3 linked regions of the Drosophila melanogaster genome follow. The gene in region 2 interacts genetically with the main gene of each other region. Each region holds a gene or a part of one and is shown on either strand. Other genes may lie near its edges.

Region 1 (5,445 bases), on a different chromosome or scaffold from region 2:
TAAACTGCATTCTTTGGCGTGTGTTGACGTGTGGTTCTGTTTCGCTTTCGACTTTCATTCATCTAGTTATTTCGGACTAATTGGCAATTTGCGTTTTCGAGCAACATTTTTATTTACATATTAGGAACTTACCAAACGTTGTTCTAGCATCGGGTAACGAGTTGTTCCGCCGGATATTATGTGGATTTTAAAACCTTACCTTTGGCTTCATTTGCATATTTTTTAAATATTTTACTATTGGTTCGACTTATTCAAATATTGGCAATTGTTTTATAGTTCAAATATATGTTGGGGACATATAGATCGACTTATGAAACTGATTTAGGGTTTGCCCAAAAGCATCATCTTTTGATTTTAAACATTTTTTTTACAACAAAATAAAATTTAATTTTAAATGGATTGGGAATTGAATTGTTTGCATATTCAAGATATATAGTATTAAAGTTATTGATTAAATAGTGCAAGACCACCCCGTTACAACTAGTTGAATCAATTTGGATTCGAACACGCTAATATCCCATCAGCTATAACAACATATTGAACACATTTCCAGGATTAACTGCACGTCAGCACAAGGCAAATAGTATCACCCGTTTTACATCTAATATGTTTATACTTTAGACCAAAATTAATGGCGAAGTCTTGGTGAAAAGCATACACAAGTCGGACCCCAGGAACTAAGATAGATTGGAAAAGTAGAAGGGTATACCTCTATGGTCTGTTGCTCCGATATGAACTCGACATCCTTGTTAAGGTCCATGCTGTCGTTCATGTTCATGCCCATGCCCATGCCCGGCGGCATACCAGCATTTCCCTGAAAGCAAATCATAATGAAAATATGTACATCGTCATGAAATCATAAGATGTACCTTCATTACGTTCTGGAAATGCTGCTGCAGTGCCTCGTCCTGATAGCGATGCTTCTGGTTCTCCTCCTGCGGCTTCAAATTTTGGAAGTTCTGCAGCGTATGGAGCTGCCGCAGCACATTCGGATTGTTTAGCAGCTGCTTGATCTTCTTCTCCTGAAAGAGTTATTTAAAAGGTTATTCAAAATGGGATCGATCTAATGTGAGCAACAAAAGCAACAAATAGAAACTTAAGATAAACAAAACTATCTAAATGAAGAGATGTGTTAATGGGGTTCGCCATACGTCTAACAGGTTTGAAGAAGTGGGCGGTGAGTCGTCGCCCATACAGTGGTGATCATCTGCCATCAGCATCTGCAGGCCTTCATCTTCTTCCTCGATGATCTCCCGCACCTGGTAGTCAATGTCGTGCGAGCTCTTGACATATTCCCGTTTGTGATGATGCGACTTGCTGGTCTTCGACGAGCACGAGACCACCGACTGTCGTTTGGAATAGTGTTGCTCCGAGTAGTGACGCTTGGAGCTGCTGCTGCCACCGCCGAACTTCTCATGGCCCAGCTAGCGATTGGGCGAAGGGCAAAATGGGCGGTTAGTGGGCAAGACATGAGAGACAGAGAAATGTAAATGCAGCAGAATTGTAGACGATGTTAGTTAAGCCATTATCCAATACTAGACACCTGTAGAAGCCTCAACCGAAAGCATCACTTACCGACAAGTCGGGCATGGCACCGCCCATCTTATCGTCGCCCCCGGAGCTGTTCATGCTTATCTCCATTCCGGAGCTGTTTAGACCGTTCGGACCGCTCGATATGTCCGCCAGGCTAAGAGCACCGCTGCTGCTGGGTCCTGGACCCACGCCGCCGCCCTGTCCTCCACTGCCACCCACCGGAGGCATCTGGTGGTAGATTGGGTGGTTTGGGTCGGCCAGGTCGAAGATCGGCTGAATGACCTCGGACTTGAAGACGTTGTTTTTCTGCCACAGGTTCAGTACCCGGATGATGCGACTCTTGTCCTCCGGAGCGCACCGGAACAAGTTGGCAAAGGTCTCCGTGAGATTACGCTGGAATCGGGGCGCGAACAGATCCTTGTCCATACCGTACTGGTGGCGCGACTGGCGCACTATCGAGTCGATTACATACAGCCCGGGTACTTTGTACTCCGGCTTGCACTTCAAGATGAACTTCTCCACACTCTGGACGACGTGCTTATACAGCTTGATGGCCCGCATCGCCGACTTGGTGATGGCGGCCATCTTCGCTTTGGAAATGGGCGGTCGGCTGTCATAGAGTCCGGAGAGCTAAGGAGAAATATAGATGTTACAGTACGGCTATAGTTTACGGATATCTGGGACATGGAGTTATCGTTATCGGGTGCTGGCCAAAAAGCAACCCTGAGCGGTGCTGTTCGGTGCTCTGCCTGCGCCTCCAGCAGGATCTGTATACCTCCCGCACATTGGACAATCCGAATACCGACTTCAAGCGGACATTGTGCAACCACGCCGGCTGCTCCATAACGAACCTCGTTTCTAATGCATCTATAGCTTACCTCATTGTTGAAGGCAACCACGGTTTCCATGTTCAATTGCTTGGTTCACTCACGGCACGCACACACAATATTTAGTTTTGCATACTTTGGTTGGTCAACACAATCGTTTAAAACTGGCGAAAAACAATTTTCTCGACCTTTCTGCGGTTTCCACGGCTTTTAAAAAAACTTTTTACAAAGCGTGAAAAAAATGGCTGCCCTAAAGCCTGAAGCGTTGCCAGACCTGTAAAGTTGACATTTTCAAGGCATTTCTGGAAATTGTGCTGTTAATGGCAGTGTGACCGTATGTGGTGCATAACGTTTCGGTATTAAAAAATTTTCCAAATATTTATAAAAAATAAAACGAAATAGAATTTTCATTATGGAATCCAAAAGTTTCATATAAAAAAATAATGACAACAAAATAAAAATGACCTTAAATAAATTTAAATGAAATCAAATCTTCTTAAATGTACTACCTTTTAAAAATAATCGCTATCGGCGGTGTCGATCTTTTTAGCATTGTGTCGATGACAATACATCTGGCAACACTGGTCAATATTAAACATATATTAAACAAATTAAAATGAGCTCAAACCACCGTCCTCTGGACGATTCGGATATCCTCCTAATACAAACCATCCGCGAGACGCCGTCGCTGTACGATCCCCAGCTGCCCTCCTTTCGGCTGTCGCAGCGCAAAGAGGAGGACTGGGCAAAAGTGGCGGATTTGCTAAACATCTCCATCTCAGACGCTCGGCGACGGTGGACGTGTCTGCGGGATCGCTATTCGCGGGAGCTTAAGCAGAAGCGCCTGCATCCGTCCGGCGAGTTTGGTCACAATGACTTCTTTCGGAAGATGGACTTCCTGCGGGACTTTGTGCGCAAGAGACGCGAGCGCAGAGGACGCGAACGGGATCGGGAACAAAAGCCAACCGGGTGGATGAAGGTTGATTTACAGCGACGGCGTCGTACCCGCCTGCCTATTGACACAGAGACCTTGATCGAGGAGCAAGGTTCGCACGCCTACGATGAGGGCGAGGAGCAACACGACTACGACGCTAAGCTGGAGTCTCATACCACACAATCGGAGACGTATTCGGTGGTCGTGGAGGCGGACGATGGGCAGGAGCCCGAACAGGAGAGCTTCGATGAGTTCCTGGGGGATGCGGAGTGCGAGCAAAAGGTCAAGGTGGTCACAATTCATCCGGAAATCGCTGCTCCGAATGCGACGTCCGCACCTGAGCCTATTGAGTCTAACCACGCGGATCTGAACTACTTGGTCTGTATGCCGCCCAATGCGAATCAGGAGCGAGAGCATTCCGCCCCAGAATTACCCAATCCCACGGCCGTCATCACCCAAAAGACTTGCGAAACAGAGGACGACTTCTTTTGCAAGTCGATTGCCGCGTATTTGCGCCAACTGTCGCGCGTGCACAAGATCAAGGCCAAGGTGGAGATGTACCAGATTCTAGAGAAGTACATACTGCTCGAGGAGTGCGGAAAGGGGTCGGGTGCGGGCGGATCAGGCTAAGCAGGTTGCATGCAATATGTACATAGGTTTTAACATAGTTTTTTAATGCAGTACAAATATACAAAGAGACGAAAATCTTTTGAGCTTAATCTAACTTTGTGCTTAGGAAAAAATGGAGTCTTAGCAGAAGTCCTCGTTGATTATGTTGGCATCTACGGCCAGGCCTCGTTCCTTTAGTGCCTTGGATACTAGGCGGTGTTTCTCCTGCCGCTGCTCCTGTTCCCTACGCTGGGCGTCCAGGATTTCATCGACGGATATCTCTTTGAGTGGCAGTTTCTGCTCCTTTTCACGGTCCTTTTACGCATATTTAAAGGGTGTTAATCAGTCATATTGAAAAAGTATCGAGTAAAGCTTACTATTTCGCCCAGTAGCACCACATTCTCCCCGCGAATGATGAAGACTCCGCGAGGAATGTCGCCGTATTCGTTGCCCACATGTATCCGCTCGATGGTGCGTTGCAGCACCAGGTTGGCGAACTGGTCCACGGACCGCAGGTATCCAATCAGAGTCCGTCCGTCTCTCAAAAGTACCATCAGTTTCTCTGCAATGCGCCGGTTTTCAACGACTGGCCTTCCTTTCATTCGGATTTACTCACTGTCAACCTCTTCCAGGAGGTGAGCCGTGCCCGCCAGCGGATTTAAGTCGTCCATGCTATGAAAATATGTGGGATTTAGATAAATAAATAAACTGAAGCAACTAAACTTTGGTCTAAATTTTAGTATTTAATATTAATGTAACCCTCGCTGAAGGGTTTAAAAAACCACAATGCTCTAGAAAAAAATACTAAAAATATTACTACACTGTTCAACGAAACTTATAAGATATTGCTTACTGAAATTGATGTTTTTAGTTTTAAAATGCATAGATATTAAATAGTTATTATTAATTTTCAAACAGTTAAAAATAAGATTTCTGCTCTAACATCAAATATTTTTACGCTGTTCACAGAGTTACAAAATAAAAAGAAGTTGACCAAAAAAATATCAAAACTTGTACTCAATCCATGCAAATTTTTCACAGCCCCATCGATAACGATGGTACAAATTCTATACCTCGATAGTACCATCGATAGTTTGCCGGCACAGGGAATTGTGAATTATCCCGGAATAGGCGAATAATGAAGTAAGTGGCAGAACGGGATAAATGAAAGTACTCCTTTAACAACCCAGTCCACAGGCTCAGCGTGGACGGCCTGTTGGTGTACTTTCCGTACGAGTACATCTACCCGGAACAATATGCCTACATGCTGGAACTTAAGCGTAGCCTGGACGCCAAGGGCCACTGCCTGTTGGAGATGCCCTCGGGAACGGGCAAGACGGCCACGCTGCTCTCCCTGATCGTTGCCTACATGGTGGAGCATCCGGAAACGGTGCGCAAGCTCATCTACTGCTCGCGTACTGTTCCGGAGATCGAGAAAGTGATCGCCGAGCTGCAGAACCTGATGGTTTACTACGAGCGCCACTGCCCCAATCCACCACCCTTCACCGGTCTGGTGCTCAGCTCTAGGAAGAACATGTGCAT
Region 2 (9,665 bases):
TGAACGGACATGTCGGGTACGGCGACAGCGTCGGCCAACACGGACATATCCGGAATCATGTTCTGGAATAGGATCTGCATCTTCTGGACGATGGCTAAGCGGATACAACAAAAAATAATTTTTGTAATTGGATTACTTACTGTTCATTTTGCAACTAGATAGAACGACTATCAGATACCCTTTACTCAAACAGGAAGAATTCAAAACACTTTGTGGCATTTCGATAGAATGGGCAAGACCGAGTAGAGTTGGCAGGGAAATTTTAGTAAATAAACTCAGTCCGAGATTCATAAGTCAGACACACGGACGGACGGTCAGACGGACATGTTCATACTTCTATACTTTTTAGCGATTATAATGATTTACGAGTAGCTTTCGAATTTAGTTGATTACCTTGTCTAGACAGCTGGTGATTAGTCTTGATATGTTAAAAATTTCAAATTTCCAAAGACACCTTGTTTTTGTTTTTAATAAGAAATGCGTATGTATTTCTGTGCAAGTCGTTCTATCCAAATGCTAAGCGTAATCCATCCAGCGAATTGTACCATCTGGTATAACTAATACTGTCTCTTACCTTCCATCTGGGGGAGATTATGGGTAGAATGGATCTCGTAGGCCACAAAGTGCCTAGTAGGTGTGCGTGGCACGATTCCACCGCTTACCAGCGGAAGGATGAGGAGGGCACAAATGGCAAAGAGTTTCATGGTGATGTCTCGAATTCGACTGAACCTCGCGGCCACTTGAAGAGAGGTTATATAGCTGCCTTATCTGGGCACTGACTCCCTTATTTACGGCCCATTCGCGGTAGACCTCTCCAGATTAGATTCCCAGCCAAATGTGCAAAAAGAACAGCATATTGAATGGTACTGGTACCTTGTAAATCTTTACCGGTGGTTCACCCAAAACGGGAAGTATTTCAATAACGTTGGAATTACGTTTGATCAAATTTGCAAATTTATTTTTTTATTCTATTTATAAATACAAGAAGGTTTTATGTTATTACTGAATTGTTATGTTTAGGCTTTTCTTAGCTGCGTCAGCGTTTTCATATCTAATCTTCTGTTATCGATGATGTGTTACTTCGTAGTTAGGTCCACGTATATATCCTGATAGTGGTAATTGCATCAGTTTGTGTGCTTTGGAACTGTTAATTCCACCGACTCACTGATGTATTGATAAAAACAATTTAATATTATTGATCAGTATCTAAATACTCTGAAGCTTTGGAAATACTCCAGAATCGGTACCCGAACCAAAGATATTGTCATAATTATTAGAATTAATTAATTTTCATAATTTTACTTATGTCTCTGCTAGAACAACGTCTGGAGCACCCACCCTCCAGTTTGGTTCACCAACCAAACTAATTTTCAAATTTTCGTGATGGTTGTTTCGCATAAATGTACTGCAATATATTTCACTACCTAACCAAAGACATTAGAATAATATTCTAGTGACTTTGACCTAACTATGTATAGAAATATATTTCCATAAAAACATATTTAAATATTTTTTCAGTTGTCCTTTTTGTTTAACTTATAAGGGCAATTTTTATTCGATATATATAACTAGAAAATGTGAAATAAAGTTAAGATTCGATTTCTCATTAATCATTTTTCTTGTGCAAATTTTGAACAAAACTGTCGGTTTTCTATCGTCTAAAAAATTATGAACAAAATAGAAAAAGTTAAAAACTTTTTCCAAAAAAAAAAAATTCGAAATTCTTAAAATTATAGGGAACTATAAAAAATGTTTAACGCAACATTATAAGTGCATTAGATAGCTTAACAATTTTTCAACGTGTTATTTACGATTTAATGAATCTGTCTTAATTCTTTACTCTTTAATCAATACTCGGAAATTTCTTTGGCCTGGTCTTAAACACCGAGTATGTCATTGTGATCCTCCGCGGGATCCACTGGCTCTCGCTTAAGGTTGTCCAGCGAAAAATCATCCGCAGCAATAGTGGCTGCTGTCTCCGAGGATTCAATTTTATTTCTCTGCACCGTCTGACTGGCCTGCTGAAGAAGGTCCTGAAAGGAGGTTTTGGTATTAGCCACCACCAAGCTGCGCTTCAGCGCCGAGGTAGGCGAACTTTCTTCGCCGTTTACAGAGGCCGTTGCAGCGGGCTTGGGCTGGGCAAAGTCATTGAAGGCAGATCCTTGCACACTGGCAATCTGCGGAGTTTTCTGAAGCAGGGAGGCACCGCCAGTGGGTGAGATTTGCTTTTGGTAAGCAGGAACGCAGCCCACAGACTTCCTCACTAGTAAACTGCTGCCTTGCGATGCAGTGGTCATTTGACTAGCACCTACGGCAGAATACCGAGGGCGTTGGGTAGGTGGCACCATTCCATGCCCAGCTGCTATCAATCGCCGCTTAAGCATAGACGCTTCCATAGCGCTAGCATTGGAGTTTATGGTGCTGCCATTGGCGGAACCTTGGCTAGCGTTTTGGGCATTGGGTGGATTGCTGCTACCGCACACGGAATACCTCCTGGACATGGCGCGGATATTCTCGGAGGCAGCTCCCTTGGCCGTCGTCGGTCCATTGCCTTGTCCAAAGAAACTGTTGATCAATGAACCCTGCGGCCTTATAGCAGCCACTACAGCAGCTCCTTTGGGACTGCCTGTTGGGGCGTGGTTGGCCACCTTGACCACACTATGGTTACTGTCAACACTATCCTTGCGCAAAATTTCCTGAGTGGCACTCAAGTTGCCATTCGGTTTACCACCCATAGCCGCTAACCTGAACAACCTCTTATCTAGTCCACCCGCCGGGCTGGTGGGGGCGATCTCTTGTCCAGTGCCTGGCTTGTATACCCTCTGAATGACTTGGCGTGTCATATTTGTTCGGGGTCCTCGCTGTACCTCAGGAGCAATTCCACTGCGGGAAGCTGTAGCTATAGCTGTAGCTTCTCCTGGCGGTCTAATTAGGGTAACCTTAGCCGCGCTCACCATGCTGACTAGCTCCCTGACCAATCGAAGTTCCGGATCTGTAATGTGCTCAAATCCTGAAGGAGTGTTTATATTAAAATGCTGCAGTTCTTTAGACGTTGGGAAATCGGTAGCATCATCAAAGGTTTCCATCAGCGCTTGGAATACTTTCTTCTTAAAGTGCATCTTCTGACGGGGGTTCATTTCCTGCATCTGGGGCTTGATCATTTCGAGAAAGTAATTATCGGAGAAAGGATTCTGGACTCCGGTTTGAGTGCCTCGCTCAGTCATTTTCAATTGGGTTATACTCTTTCCGACCGGAACGGATGTTCCAGCTGTGGTGGTTGTGGGTATATTAGTTATCACCGCACCAGAGGCACCAGTGGTGGCCTTGCTGCTGCTGCTGGTGCTAGATGAATTCGGACTGTAGCTTATTACATTAACGTTTTCAGTAGTTTTGATGCTGTTGTTACTGGTACCTTTGGTAATGGTATTAGTAGTAGCGGTGCTGCTGCTTATGCTAGTAACGACGTTGCTTTTGATAGCAATATTATTTATGTTACCACTCGCGACGGAGCTGGTGGGCTTGCCAATGGTCAGGACTTTGGTGTTTATGGGCGACTGTGGCTTGGTCTGCGTTTCCGGCGCAACTATTCGCTGCACCATAGGTAGCTTCTTGGGCGGCCTACCCACGGACCTCCTTTGTGGTGGACCAGATCCCTGCGGGTTAGCGATCGCTTCATCGGTCGTCGGAAAGATCAGCGTCTTCTGCTGTTGTTGAGTCTTGAGTTGGTTTTGATTTATATTCACAACTCCAGATGGCACCGCAGGTCTCGGGAAGATGTCATCCCGATGACTGATTTTCGTGATCTGGACTGGCCCGGATGGCGGCTTGTTGATCGGCTGAGACCTGGGGACTGGAGTCATTTTCACAGGCGATGTGGAGCTCCTTACACTGTGTACAGCCGCTAAACTCATAGATTTCCTGCGCTGCAATCGCGTCATTCGTTGTGCTTGGCCTGGTTTCTGGATCGGTAAATCCCTTATGCCAGCGAAACTTATTGATGCACGGGCTGCGCGACGTGGACGTCGGGTTGGAGAAGTAGTGTCGCTGCCTGTGACGCGTTTTTCACCATCCCTACCATATTCATCGCCACTATCTTCCATAGCCGTTTCCAGAGGATCCCCGGAAATAGATTTTGAAGCCTTGGATTCAGCAAACGAAGACGTCGAATTCTTTCTGCCAATAATTAGCAAACGAGGATCTCTGGTTTGCTTGACAAAGAACTCCGGCTGGCTAACAGTTGAGTCGGTGTTATTCTTCTCTAGAGACTTCTCCGGCGTTAACTCCTTTTCCTGATTCGATTGTTCCAAGTCAAAATCGAAACCTTCCAGATCTTCTAGGTGCTCCTCGTCCATGCACTCGTCGTCTTCATTATCAGACTGCAGAAAACTATCGAGTTCAGGAACCTTCTCTGGTTCGTCCGATTCCTCCAAATCATTCAGCTTCTCTTCAGCACTTTTCTTCCTAGATCGCTGTTTATCTCCAGGATTTTCCCAATTTTCTCTCTTGTCTTGGGACGATTTTTCCTTACGAACTTGACTTGCCAGCTTGACCTCCTTAACTAACTTGCTTGTCGATGATGCGCGTTCTTTTAATGACGCCTGAGCATGATGATCCACGCCCTCGCTGTCTCTATTGTTATCCCTGTCCTTGTCCGATGATACGCTGCGGTCATCGTCGGCAGCCATGTCGTCAGCTATGTTTAGATGGCGGTCCAAAAAGCGCAGCTCATCGGCCAGCGGATAAGCCAAACGACGCTGGCCATTTCGTCGCCGGTTGGCGTCGGCGTTGCACCAGCGGGTATAGTCATTTCGCAGCTGACGCCAGCGTCGCTTGCATTTTTCCACTGCAAGAGGGAACAAGAGGGAAATGATAAGGCTAGGTAAGAAGATATGATACGTAATATATATCAGGCAACAGGTAGCGGCCCAACCTTTACTTCTCAATAGCATAACACCCCCTGATTGCCCGGAAAATTCCACTTTAATCTTAGCTCATAAAACTTTGTGTGCATTTTACATGAACAGGTAATAAGAGCTCAGGAATGCTTATTAATAATGGGAAGAGACACTAGTTAAATTATTTTTAATTTCAAAAAACCAACATTGTACATGGTTCCGTAAATGCAAGTTTCGCTTGAAAGTATGCTATGTATGAATATCTAAATGAGTATAAATGAGTATTCGGTGGCGAGTACATGCACTGCAGTTTATATATAATTTTTTAGCTGCCTGAAGGTAGCAGTATTTAATAATTAAGCTATACATGTATGTAAATTTTTAAAAATAAAAATAAAAGCACTGCAGTGTGTAACTGCTAGTCACAAAATCGGGGCATCCAGTACGCACCGCGAACCCTGAATCACGGGTCCTACAACCCGGATGGCACATTACTTGTTTTTAATAAGAATACACTAGATCTTGGAAATATATATAAATTTTGGATTACATTTATTAAAATCGAAAAACTATATTTTCAATACCAACAGTCGGAAAATGATTAGCTAATTAATGGTCTTAATGGTCTAAATATGGTCTTCGGTATTAGATATTTCCATATTATTTTTTAATTGATCAAATTCGTATGGCTCTTTCCATTGGAGGAAGTGGCAAAATTGATTTGGAGTAATAGACAAGAAATTCTTAGCTTCTACGTGCCAAAACTGCTTCTTAGTTATCTGCCTTTATACTCGCCGATTAATATGGTTTGTAACAGTATGTAACTAACTACGCTGCGGAAGGTTATTTTCAATTACCGCGGCCAAAATCTGACAAAACTGACACATGAAATTTTGTGTTCGGTGCCATTTCAATTCTTGTCCTTGCATAAGGATAGTTCAAATAAAAATCGGGTCATAAAAAATAAGCTTTTTTCTAGCCAAACATAACAATTTTTTAAAGTGATAAAATAATATCAGCTATAACATATACAAGAAAAATTGTAGGAAATTACTTTATATTTTTAAGACAAAGCATTTTTGCAAAAAATTAATTTACAGTGCAATAAATCACCACAAAAACAAATAATAAGAGAATGAATAATGGAAGTGGGAAGCTTTATAATGCATATAGATATGGCATATAGATAGATATTGGGGAGTCAAATGAGAAAATTTTAAAAAAACTGTTCAAAAAGTCAATATAAATTTACAAAACTAATTAAAAATTATGAAAAAACAAACTTTCGCTGCGTCTAAGTCCCTTTAATCTATATGTTTAATTTGAACCTTTTTGTTTCTATAGTTCCTGAGATCGACCTTCATACCAGTTGCATACATACTTTGCAACGAATCCCTTCCAACGTATACCCTTTAAATCTACGAGTAAGGGGTATACAAATTAGAAGCGTCCATTTATCTGCATGACCATACATGACCATATATATTTATATAAATATATATATATGCAGATTTCCGACATACATACATGGGAACGTACATGGATGTACATATCATACATATTTATAAGGCGTGCAGGTTTCCGACGCCCAAACTTCTAAGATACGTTTTAATTTGTTAGTTAACAAAACCTGTAGACATTGCTGAAACACCCTTTATCTGATATCCAAACACATTACTTAAAAAATAGTTGTGTTAAGGAATCGTGTAAAGTTTAGTAAAAGGTGTCAGAAACCACGTGGAAATAATCGCAATCAAATTGAGAATCATACTTAAATATGTACATGCACGTGTGTATGTACATATGTACACTAAAAAGGATTTTTCTTTCTTTTGCGATATATAAATAAAACTTACAGCAAGAATTCTCGAATAAGAAGTCCCCCATCATTGGCAATATTTTTTCAGTTCTCAAATGAAAAAGAGCCAACTTATATTGTACTGCTCGAAAAGTTTGGCCAAAAGATCTTTCCAGGGAAATATATATGGGTCAATCGATATACACCGACAACAAAATCAGAGATGCATGGATAAATGGAACTACCCACTCATAATATACCAATATAATACAATATACCAATTTTCTAAGGTTAAATTTTACTCAGCTAATGGGCGATTAGTGTTACCAGTGTTACCAAAACGTGCAGAAGGATTCAAATCATTTAAAAAAAATTTATAAAGCTAATAAGAATTAAATGAAATGGATTTGGCTACTGAATAGACTAGATATTATTATTTGTCATATTTTGGTTTTTCTGTATTTAATTTATTTATTTTTAAATCCTTCTAAAATAATGTAATATTCAAATAAGACATTTTTTTAATATGAAATAACAAGCTTGTTGGAGAATTATAAATTATAAAATGTTAAATTAAAAAAATAATAATAACAACAAACGAAATAACTTTGTTTAGTTTTTACCATGCAATTATTGCAGTTGCCAAATAACTAATATAAATTACTTTCCAGCTATTTACAAAAATTATGTCACAGCAAGAAGCAATTTCATCCCAAACGACTACGCATTCAACAGGAGACTCGTTATATTCGAATTAATCGATGCCAGCTGCTTTGTGATGGCATACATGGCGCTGCCAACTCGCACACAACTATCGACGGCCGATAATTCGGGGACGACTGACTGTTGTGCGCGCGTTGACGCTGTGCAGCACTGGCAGAAAACTACGCAACGTCGATTGCTATCCCGCTCGCACTCACGACTCACCCGACTCTCCAACTTCGGAGGCAACCATGTCCCAGGCGTTCTCACTCGGCAGGCGCTTCCTATAGTTTTCGTCGGTACGATCATAAAGCGCAGTCTGCTTCTCCACTGACCGCAGCAACATCAGGTTCACCTCAGAGGCGGCGCTCATCGCTAGTTCACTTTGCAAGAATCCAATCGAGAGAGCTCGCTTCGCCAGGAATTTATCGGTTTTGTGTTATGCTACAAACGCAAACGCAATTCACACAATCACAACACACGCGCGCAGCAGCTGAGACTAAAAACGGCGACCGACTGCAGCGAAAACTAAAAGCGAGTATTGAGCACACACACACAGCCAAGTGAGAGTGTGAGCAGAGAGCGGCGCCTTGCGTTGCAGGGAAAAGCGAGTTGGCAGGCCGAACGGTCGTTGACGAGGGTTGACCAAGGTGGCCCCGGATAAATTTATTTTTTACCTGTCGGGCTAGACTATAATATTTTTTTACGTTTATAAATAATGTTTTTTACGCGTTGTTCATAATTCTCAAAACCGCTCAACCTTGTTTTCCAGTTTCTCTAAGATTTGTTAGCATTTATCTTAAAATAAAATAACTTCATTTGACAGCCAATACAAATATGAAATATTTTATTTTGTACATTAATTTAACCAAAATCGTAATATTCTTGAATAATTTTTATAATTTACAACATTTAGGGGTGGTCATTAATTAATTGGTAAATGCGTTGGCAGCACCTCCAGCGATCAAATGGCACTGCCAACACCAACTGCTATACTATTGCATTAAGTCTGGCAGTGCTGTCTACTTTGAGTGAGTGTGCCTTTCATTGTATGTGTGAGATCCAGTGGCATGTCAATTCTCTCTCAGAGAGGGTTGTATGCTGCTCGAATGGTAACCCCCGCTGATTTGCGAAGAGAATGACTACGCCTCTGGCTTTCCGTTTGTTGTGGCTCCTTTCTTTATTTATTTTGCCGGTGTTTTATATTCTCCGCCCGTTAAAGATTCAAATGTCCAATTCGAATCAGTCTAGTGCTCATGTGCTTTAAAATCAAGAACAATTGCTATTTGAAATTGCAACATTCATTTACAACTGCATCACTTGTTGGCAGCAGCACGAAATCGCAGTGTTCAAAGTTGCTAAACACTTGTAATAGCAGCAACTCCGGCGTCCACGCCAACAACTGCCGCGTGCACGGAAGCAACGAGCGGCTTGAGCCCGAACTTAATAAGCCAAAACTCGTGATAAAAGCACTGACATCGATTAATTGGAGCATTTTTAAACCTAATTCACGTAAGTTTAAACGAAAGATCTGGTTTCAGAGAAAATAACTGTTGTTGAAAGCGGAGCAGAGAAGCAAAGTAGCGGCAAACAGCTGTTGCACGGTCAGGCGACACATGTTTCAGATTCGATTTCGGGTCTTCTACTTTAACTCTATTAATTATATTAATTAATTAAATTTGCATATTTAGTTTTTATATATGAAATGAATACACGCCGTCGGTCCATAGCTCCACCACCGAACGTTTACGCCATCAATGCCAAAATATGTCATTTGGTGAAACTACATCCTTGTCTTTACGATCGTCACGATGACAACTACTTGCGGAAATCGACTGTGAAAAATGCGTGGAAGGAAATATCCAATGAGATGCGAAATTCGGGTGGGTTTTTATCTATATTTCGACATATTGCATATTAACTAAATTTACTTTAATTATTAAATTTACATTTCATTAGGAGATGTTTATATTTTTATAAGCACGATTTTACTATGTCGATACATAATATAAAATAAAATATAATCTCTTATAAAATCTTACAATTTATATTATATAAATATTATATAATATTATCTTACAATCTTATTGACTGCTATTGATCATTTCAGTTAAAAGCTGCAAGGAACGTTGGCGCAACATTCGCTCCAGCTATGCCCGCTCAATAAAGTTGCATCACGGTGCGAATACGTACTATCTTAACAGCGAGCTGAAGTTCCTGCAAAAGCACATCACTCCCGGAGTGCCCGTTCCGCTCAGAGGTCGTAGGTC
Region 3 (5,785 bases), 4.0 Mb from region 2:
TTGCCAGATACCTAAGTATATGCTTGATGATATGGTTGTTTGTAGAAGATTTTTTCAAAAGTGAGGAGTTTTGTTAAAGTAGATCGGACAACTTGGTACTGAATAATTTCATAAGGAGTGCACAAACGAGTACTTCTTTAAAATTGGAAGAAATATATAAGATATTACAATTTTTTGGATATAAATATAAATTTGGAATATATTTCTGTAATGAAGAGCATACCCAGTATAAGAAATTAATACTATTAATACTATTGTCTTGGTATAAGCAATTCGTATCTGTTGCAGAATTGAGCAAATATAATCTAGCTACTTCTAATTTACCTCCACATACCCTCTAAAACGCACAAGTAAATCTGTTGCTTATGTTAAAAAAATCCAAAACTGTTTGTTTACGGGGGTCACTTTACCATTCCTAACTCCACCCCATAGAAATCCCAGCTGGACGCACGCAAAACACACATGCACTTGAGCCTTTCACCGCTTTCTCCCGGAGAAAGGGTTGCCAAAGGATGAAGGATACGATATCATGTGTGGACGCTCGAGCAAACAAAAGTGCAAATTCCCGGGGGGACATTTGATTGAATTCAGACAGTTAACCGTCCTCATAATGCGCATTTTCAAAAAAAAGAAGGAAATCCTTTGGCTTCTGCTTATCTGCCTGGAAGAAAAATATCAAAAAATTTTAAAATCATCTTCAGGGGCTGGGGAACAGTTTATTTGGCAAATGGTATTTGTTCTTTGCCAGTTCTTGCCTTGATTGATATTATTATGGATCCGTCCGTTCATTGATTGATGGTGGACGGCGCTTAAAAGAATCTTCTATTTGGATTTTGGAAAATTAAAAAGCGGCTTAGCATCAGCATCCTTTTCCCCGTATTATTCGCCATACAAAGCGTATTAAAAATGGAAAGTTGAAAGATTTCAGTAGTCTCTTTTTTTCAAGCCTCGCCCAAAGGCAGATTTTAAAATCAGTCGGGTGGCGCCACGCGACATTTTTTAGCATCGATTGTATGAGTCCGGAAAACCGGAATGAGAGAATTTCAGGAATTATTCAGTGTCGTTTGTGTGAGAAAACGACTTTGATCTCTGCCGCCGGTAACCATTTCAATCTGTTTGGTTGAGGGGTAAAAGTGGCACTCATTTCAAGGTGGCAAAGTATTATCAACGATGATTAGGTCTATTATGACTAGCAACGGAGCGAAAGTTCTGGGTAAATTAGCAAGTACTATACATTTCACTGTAAATGATTTTACATTTACACTTAACATTTCGTTGTCTTGTTTTTCGCTGTGTTAGGCTCCATTTGTTATAAAAATTATATATGAATTAAACTCTAGACGATAAAATGTAATATTCTTTGGGTTTGTTTTGCTAAACCACAAACAGACCAAAATCTGAAAATAAACGTTTTTGAATTGTTCATCCCATCACTAGTTAAAAATGCGTATTTTTCCATTCAATAATATTTTTATTTCATGCCATTTGCTTTACTTAGCTTAAGTTACATTAAATTGCTTAAAAGAATGTGTAGTTTGGAGTATTTATGTGTGTAAATATTTCTACTTTTGAACTTGTACTATGTTTATGCTCGTTACGCGAAGAACGCCTTTTCATCGATTTATTTCGCATGGAATCTTAGCCACATATTGCTTATAAGAATAGATCTATAAACTAGATTGACACGTACACAGCTTATATATCGACGGCAAAGTAAATATAAAAATATGTTTCAATTTTAAAAAATATATTTCCATATATATTTGCTAAGTTTAAGAAGCACTCTACCTAGGAAGTTGAATCATTTAAATTTCCCCATAAATAGACACCAAGAGAGTTGTTGGTAAAAAAGTTGTAACTATTTGTAGTTATAGCATGTAGAATAGTTTGACTTATCAACTAAGTTGGTTTCGATTTGAAAACTAGCGACTGCTTACAAAATTTTGCTTTTATCTCTTGAGACAATTTTCCAATATATGAATGTTTGGATTTTTCGTTCACTTATTCTTGCACTGGGCCGACCACCTACGAGAATCTAACTTATTCAGTTAAACAAGTAAAACTAACTTAAATAAGTTTACTAAACAAATACTTGGACTGTAAATTTTTTTAGCAAAATTATTTATCACATTTGCGCTTATCCAAAGTTTTAAAATTTTGTTGTATCCCGACGGATAAGAAACTATGTGCTTAATTTCCAGCAAAGAAAATACATGTATCAAAAGTTAATCTTGTTTTAGGGTTTTCCTTGGGAAATTGATTCACATTTCTCTGTCACTGTCTCGCTCATTCTCTCTCGAAATTTTCGGGCTGCGCTAGTTCTCACCAACGTAAAGTAATCACAAGTTGCGCTTTTAGGAGCCTTAGTTGGTGCTTAAGTTGGTTTTCGAAATTTTTACTGCGCCTGCGGTTGTATTTGAACGGTGGCCTTTAGTTTGCTGGATTTTCCGGACGACTTGTGCTGTTGGTAAAATTGCTTCAGGACCTTGCACATGGTGATGGCCAGGAATTTCCAGGCCAGCAGTTGCTCCTCGGCACTCGGAGGCGCAACTGGCTCACTTGTTGCTCCTGGTGGCGGGAGTTCCTCTGCTGCAGACGGAGGTCCTTCAAAGTCCACTTGATCATGTCCGGGGTCTATGGAGAAAGCCATGGGGCTATCGACTTGATCGCCACTGGGTTCCGATTTCGGGGCGTGCTCTTCTTCGAAAAATGGAATGGCCATATTTGAGTCGCTCAAAATGTTACGTAAAAATGGCACTTGTTAACTTCGATGTGTGGCAAGGTATTTCCTGATTTTCCAGATCTGAACTCTTGGCGAGTTGTCGTACGACTGAAGAGCTCAGCCAGCAGGACGCCCGTATTTATACCCGGGAAACGGCGGGAGAATTAGCTACCCTCTGTGCCCGCTTTCTCTTTACCATCTTCCCTCCCTTTTTTCCTACCTCTCTCTTTCTCTCTTTCTCTCTCTCTCTCTGTCGCCCTCTCTGTGATGACAATATCAACTTTCATCACGTGCAGTAAACGTTTCCTCAAACAAAATGCAGAGAGCGTCACACTTGTGGCATGTTACATACGTTTTACCATTACGTTACTTACCCCGCCGTTACGTTTGAAGCTCGAATTTATATGGGGTGGTTTTCCTACGTTTTTCGAACCAGGACAGGAAAGTTTTCGAAAATGAAACAAAACAAATTTAAGGGGAAAGAATTTATTTTTAGGAAGTCGAGCTAGAAGTACCTAAGATAAATTATTTTCATTAAAGCTAATTTTATAACAAAGAAATGGTAGAATGATATATATTTCTTTTTAAAGCTAACATATGCAAATTTTAAATTTCTGAATTTTCGAACAGCAAAGGGGAAGTAGTCGAATGGCTTATACAAAAATTCGATGTGAGATTTTGCTTTGCTTTGCCTTTTCTTCACTTTTCTTGCCTTGGCTTAGACGTGACCTTGACCAATTTCCTGTTTGGCTTATTTTTCCTGTTTTTTTTGCGTTTCTTTGCCAAGAGTTTTAATTGTTGATACAAATTAAATATAGAAAATTTTTTCCAACTTAGTAAGCATTTATAAAATATGACAATAAAATTGTAACATTTACATCCAAGCTTTGCAAGAATTCGTACTATATAAGTACTAAACAAGACTTAAAATTCCTCACCCGACTATTCTTGTACTTGAAGAAAATCAATTTACCATCCTACAACTCCCTATGACCGCAAGAACAATCGGTTAACATTTTGTGAACCGCATGCCAGGAATTTTTATAGAGTAAAGGAGTGTCTGTTGAATCCTTTTTACCCTCCGACAAATCAATTCCACAAATCAACATAATCAACTTCTCGCCGTAAGTCCAAAATATAATGCACTCGCCGTCAAAAAACTTCTTTTGTTACCCACAGAATAAAATGGGTTTGGAGCAGTGCTGAATAAGAGAGAAAGCTGAAATAAGTGCCGTAAAAAATGTAAAAACTTTTTTATAGTTGCTGCATAAAAAACGTAAAATAAAAACCCAACCGAAGAAATCTACGAAAGAATGCATAACAAAAGAAAATCACCTTCGTGGGCGTGCAGGTGAGTGGGCGGGGTACCAAAAATGATATCCCCGCGATGATAACCCCGAGAAATCAGAGGAAAAATCCATGATCTAATTTGCTAAACACTCGAGCAAAATCAGCGGGGCTCGCCAAATCACTTACATATACTCGTGTACCTGCAAAACTCACTCACATTCTCAAAGGCAAAACAAAGAAAAGAATTGTTTTCGCTTAAAAGAACATTCAAATGGAAATGTTCTGCTTGGCTCAACACAAACAACAAGTGCAGGCGCACACACAAACTGCATTTATTTAGTTAGCAAACAAAATAGAAAAAAAAAGTGAAAAGGAGCAAAGTGGGATCCAAGGGAAGAAACGCATCGCATCGAAAGAGTGGCATTTGAGTACCCCAGACAGTCAGACAATGCATATATATGTATGTACCACCCATATCTATAGGTATACGTATAAAACTGAAGTGCGGCGGGGCATGTGCAGCACACGAACAACGAAAAAGACGGCAGGAAAAAATTACAAGGAAGCAGCACCCAGAAGAGCGAGTTTCAAGACGAGAGTGATGAAAGGATACCCTATTCTTAAGGATAATAATTATGAAGGAATGCCTTAATATGCTTACTCTAGATTATCCTTATCAATACAGTTTAGCTACTATCAAGAGTTCGCTCTAATTGGTAAATGGATAAAAACAAATGGTATATTTGGCAAACACAATATATTGTATTAATTAAAAAGAAATGGCATGGAAATAAGTATCGTTTGAAAATCGCAAATCAAAGATTTGATAGAATTTGTTGATTTTGAAATAATATCCAATTTAAATGTAGTTGTTGAAAATTAAATTTTCTTCGTTCTTTGATTTATTTTGAATTGAAAATGTTGTTAAAGCATTAAATATTCTTAACTTCGATGACAAGGTCACGTACACACATTCGTGTATGTACTCACTGGAAGTGAGTCTCAGTTTTTCCATTTTCGGATTAATTTCCCAAAGTCTCTGCATTGTATCCAACGTATTGCCAATCGGTAGCAGCCATTATAGGGTATTTACCTTTCCAGAACGGATACAACAGAAATTGCAGCATAAAACGTTGCATCGTTCTCATCACAGGGGCACTTTGTTGCCTTCTGTGTGTGTGTTTGGCTGTCAGATTGATATTAAATTATATACCTTATTATCATTGCAGTGTTTGTTTTTGTTTTTTTTTTGTTTGCCAGCCATGTCAGAGGGGGCGTGGCATGGCAAGTCGTGTTTATTTACAGCTGGCAACAATTGTTGCTGAAATGCATTTCACTTTGGCGCACTTTGGAGGATGCACCTCAAGTCAAAGTCAAAGCCAGGACACTTCACATGTGGTTCCCCATTCTGCATTTATGGGTGGCTTCTGTTCTGTTTTGTTTTCTTGTGTAAACTGTTATTTTTCAAGGAGGTGGAAGGATACAAGAGCTTTATGCTTGATGGCTGCGCCCAAGTGACATTAAATGGCATCCACATCCTTCGACTTTCTCGTCTCTTCTCTCTTTATATCCCTTCGTAAAGTGACTAAAGTGGCAGCTTAAAGTTCCCCTGCATTTTAAAGATTTCCCATTCAGATGACGTATAAAATATTTATATTTCCAGCTATTTACGTATTTTTCCTTTATATTGACCATCAAAATAAATTGAAGTAATTTTAGTTCGATGCGCAAACTAAATGGGATTAAAGATTCGATTGTTGATTGCCTGGGCAG

Evidence for each region. Genes that interact genetically often act in the same process or in processes that back each other up.
Region 1: of stwl (region 2) and hng1, changing one enhances a phenotype caused by changing the other (phenotypic enhancement), as found in Drosophila melanogaster (one study listed by BioGRID).
Region 3: of stwl (region 2) and skl, changing one suppresses a phenotype caused by changing the other (phenotypic suppression), as found in Drosophila melanogaster (one study listed by BioGRID).

What each region holds. Positions count from the first base shown.
Region 1 is NT_033778.4:21,166,021-21,171,465, forward strand, and holds hng1 (hinge1), read left to right. Parts: upstream 1-2,909; 5' UTR 2,910-2,976; coding exon 2,977-3,924; 3' UTR 3,925-3,990; downstream 3,991-5,445. Other genes in the region: Isha (insulator su(Hw) mRNA adaptor), read right to left, coding at 710-814, 870-1,022, 1,152-1,424, 1,576-2,163, 2,412-2,441; LSm1 (uncharacterized protein), read right to left, coding at 4,045-4,218, 4,281-4,465, 4,520-4,574; Xpd (xeroderma pigmentosum D), read left to right, coding at 5,042-5,046, 5,101-5,445.
Region 2 is NT_037436.4:14,401,995-14,411,659, forward strand, and holds stwl (stonewall), read right to left. Parts: upstream 7,946-9,665; 5' UTR 7,769-7,945; coding exon 7,621-7,768; intron 6,853-7,620; exon of another isoform or gene 6,786-6,852; coding exon of another isoform or gene 6,752-6,785; intron 4,844-6,751; coding exon 1,878-4,843; 3' UTR 936-1,877; downstream 1-935. Other genes in the region: CG3868 (uncharacterized protein), read right to left, coding at 1-94, 575-704; CG3919 (uncharacterized protein), read left to right, coding at 9,101-9,278, 9,506-9,665.
Region 3 is NT_037436.4:18,437,106-18,442,890, forward strand, and holds skl (sickle), read right to left. Parts: upstream 2,838-5,785; 5' UTR 2,723-2,837; coding exon 2,396-2,722; 3' UTR 1,456-2,395; downstream 1-1,455.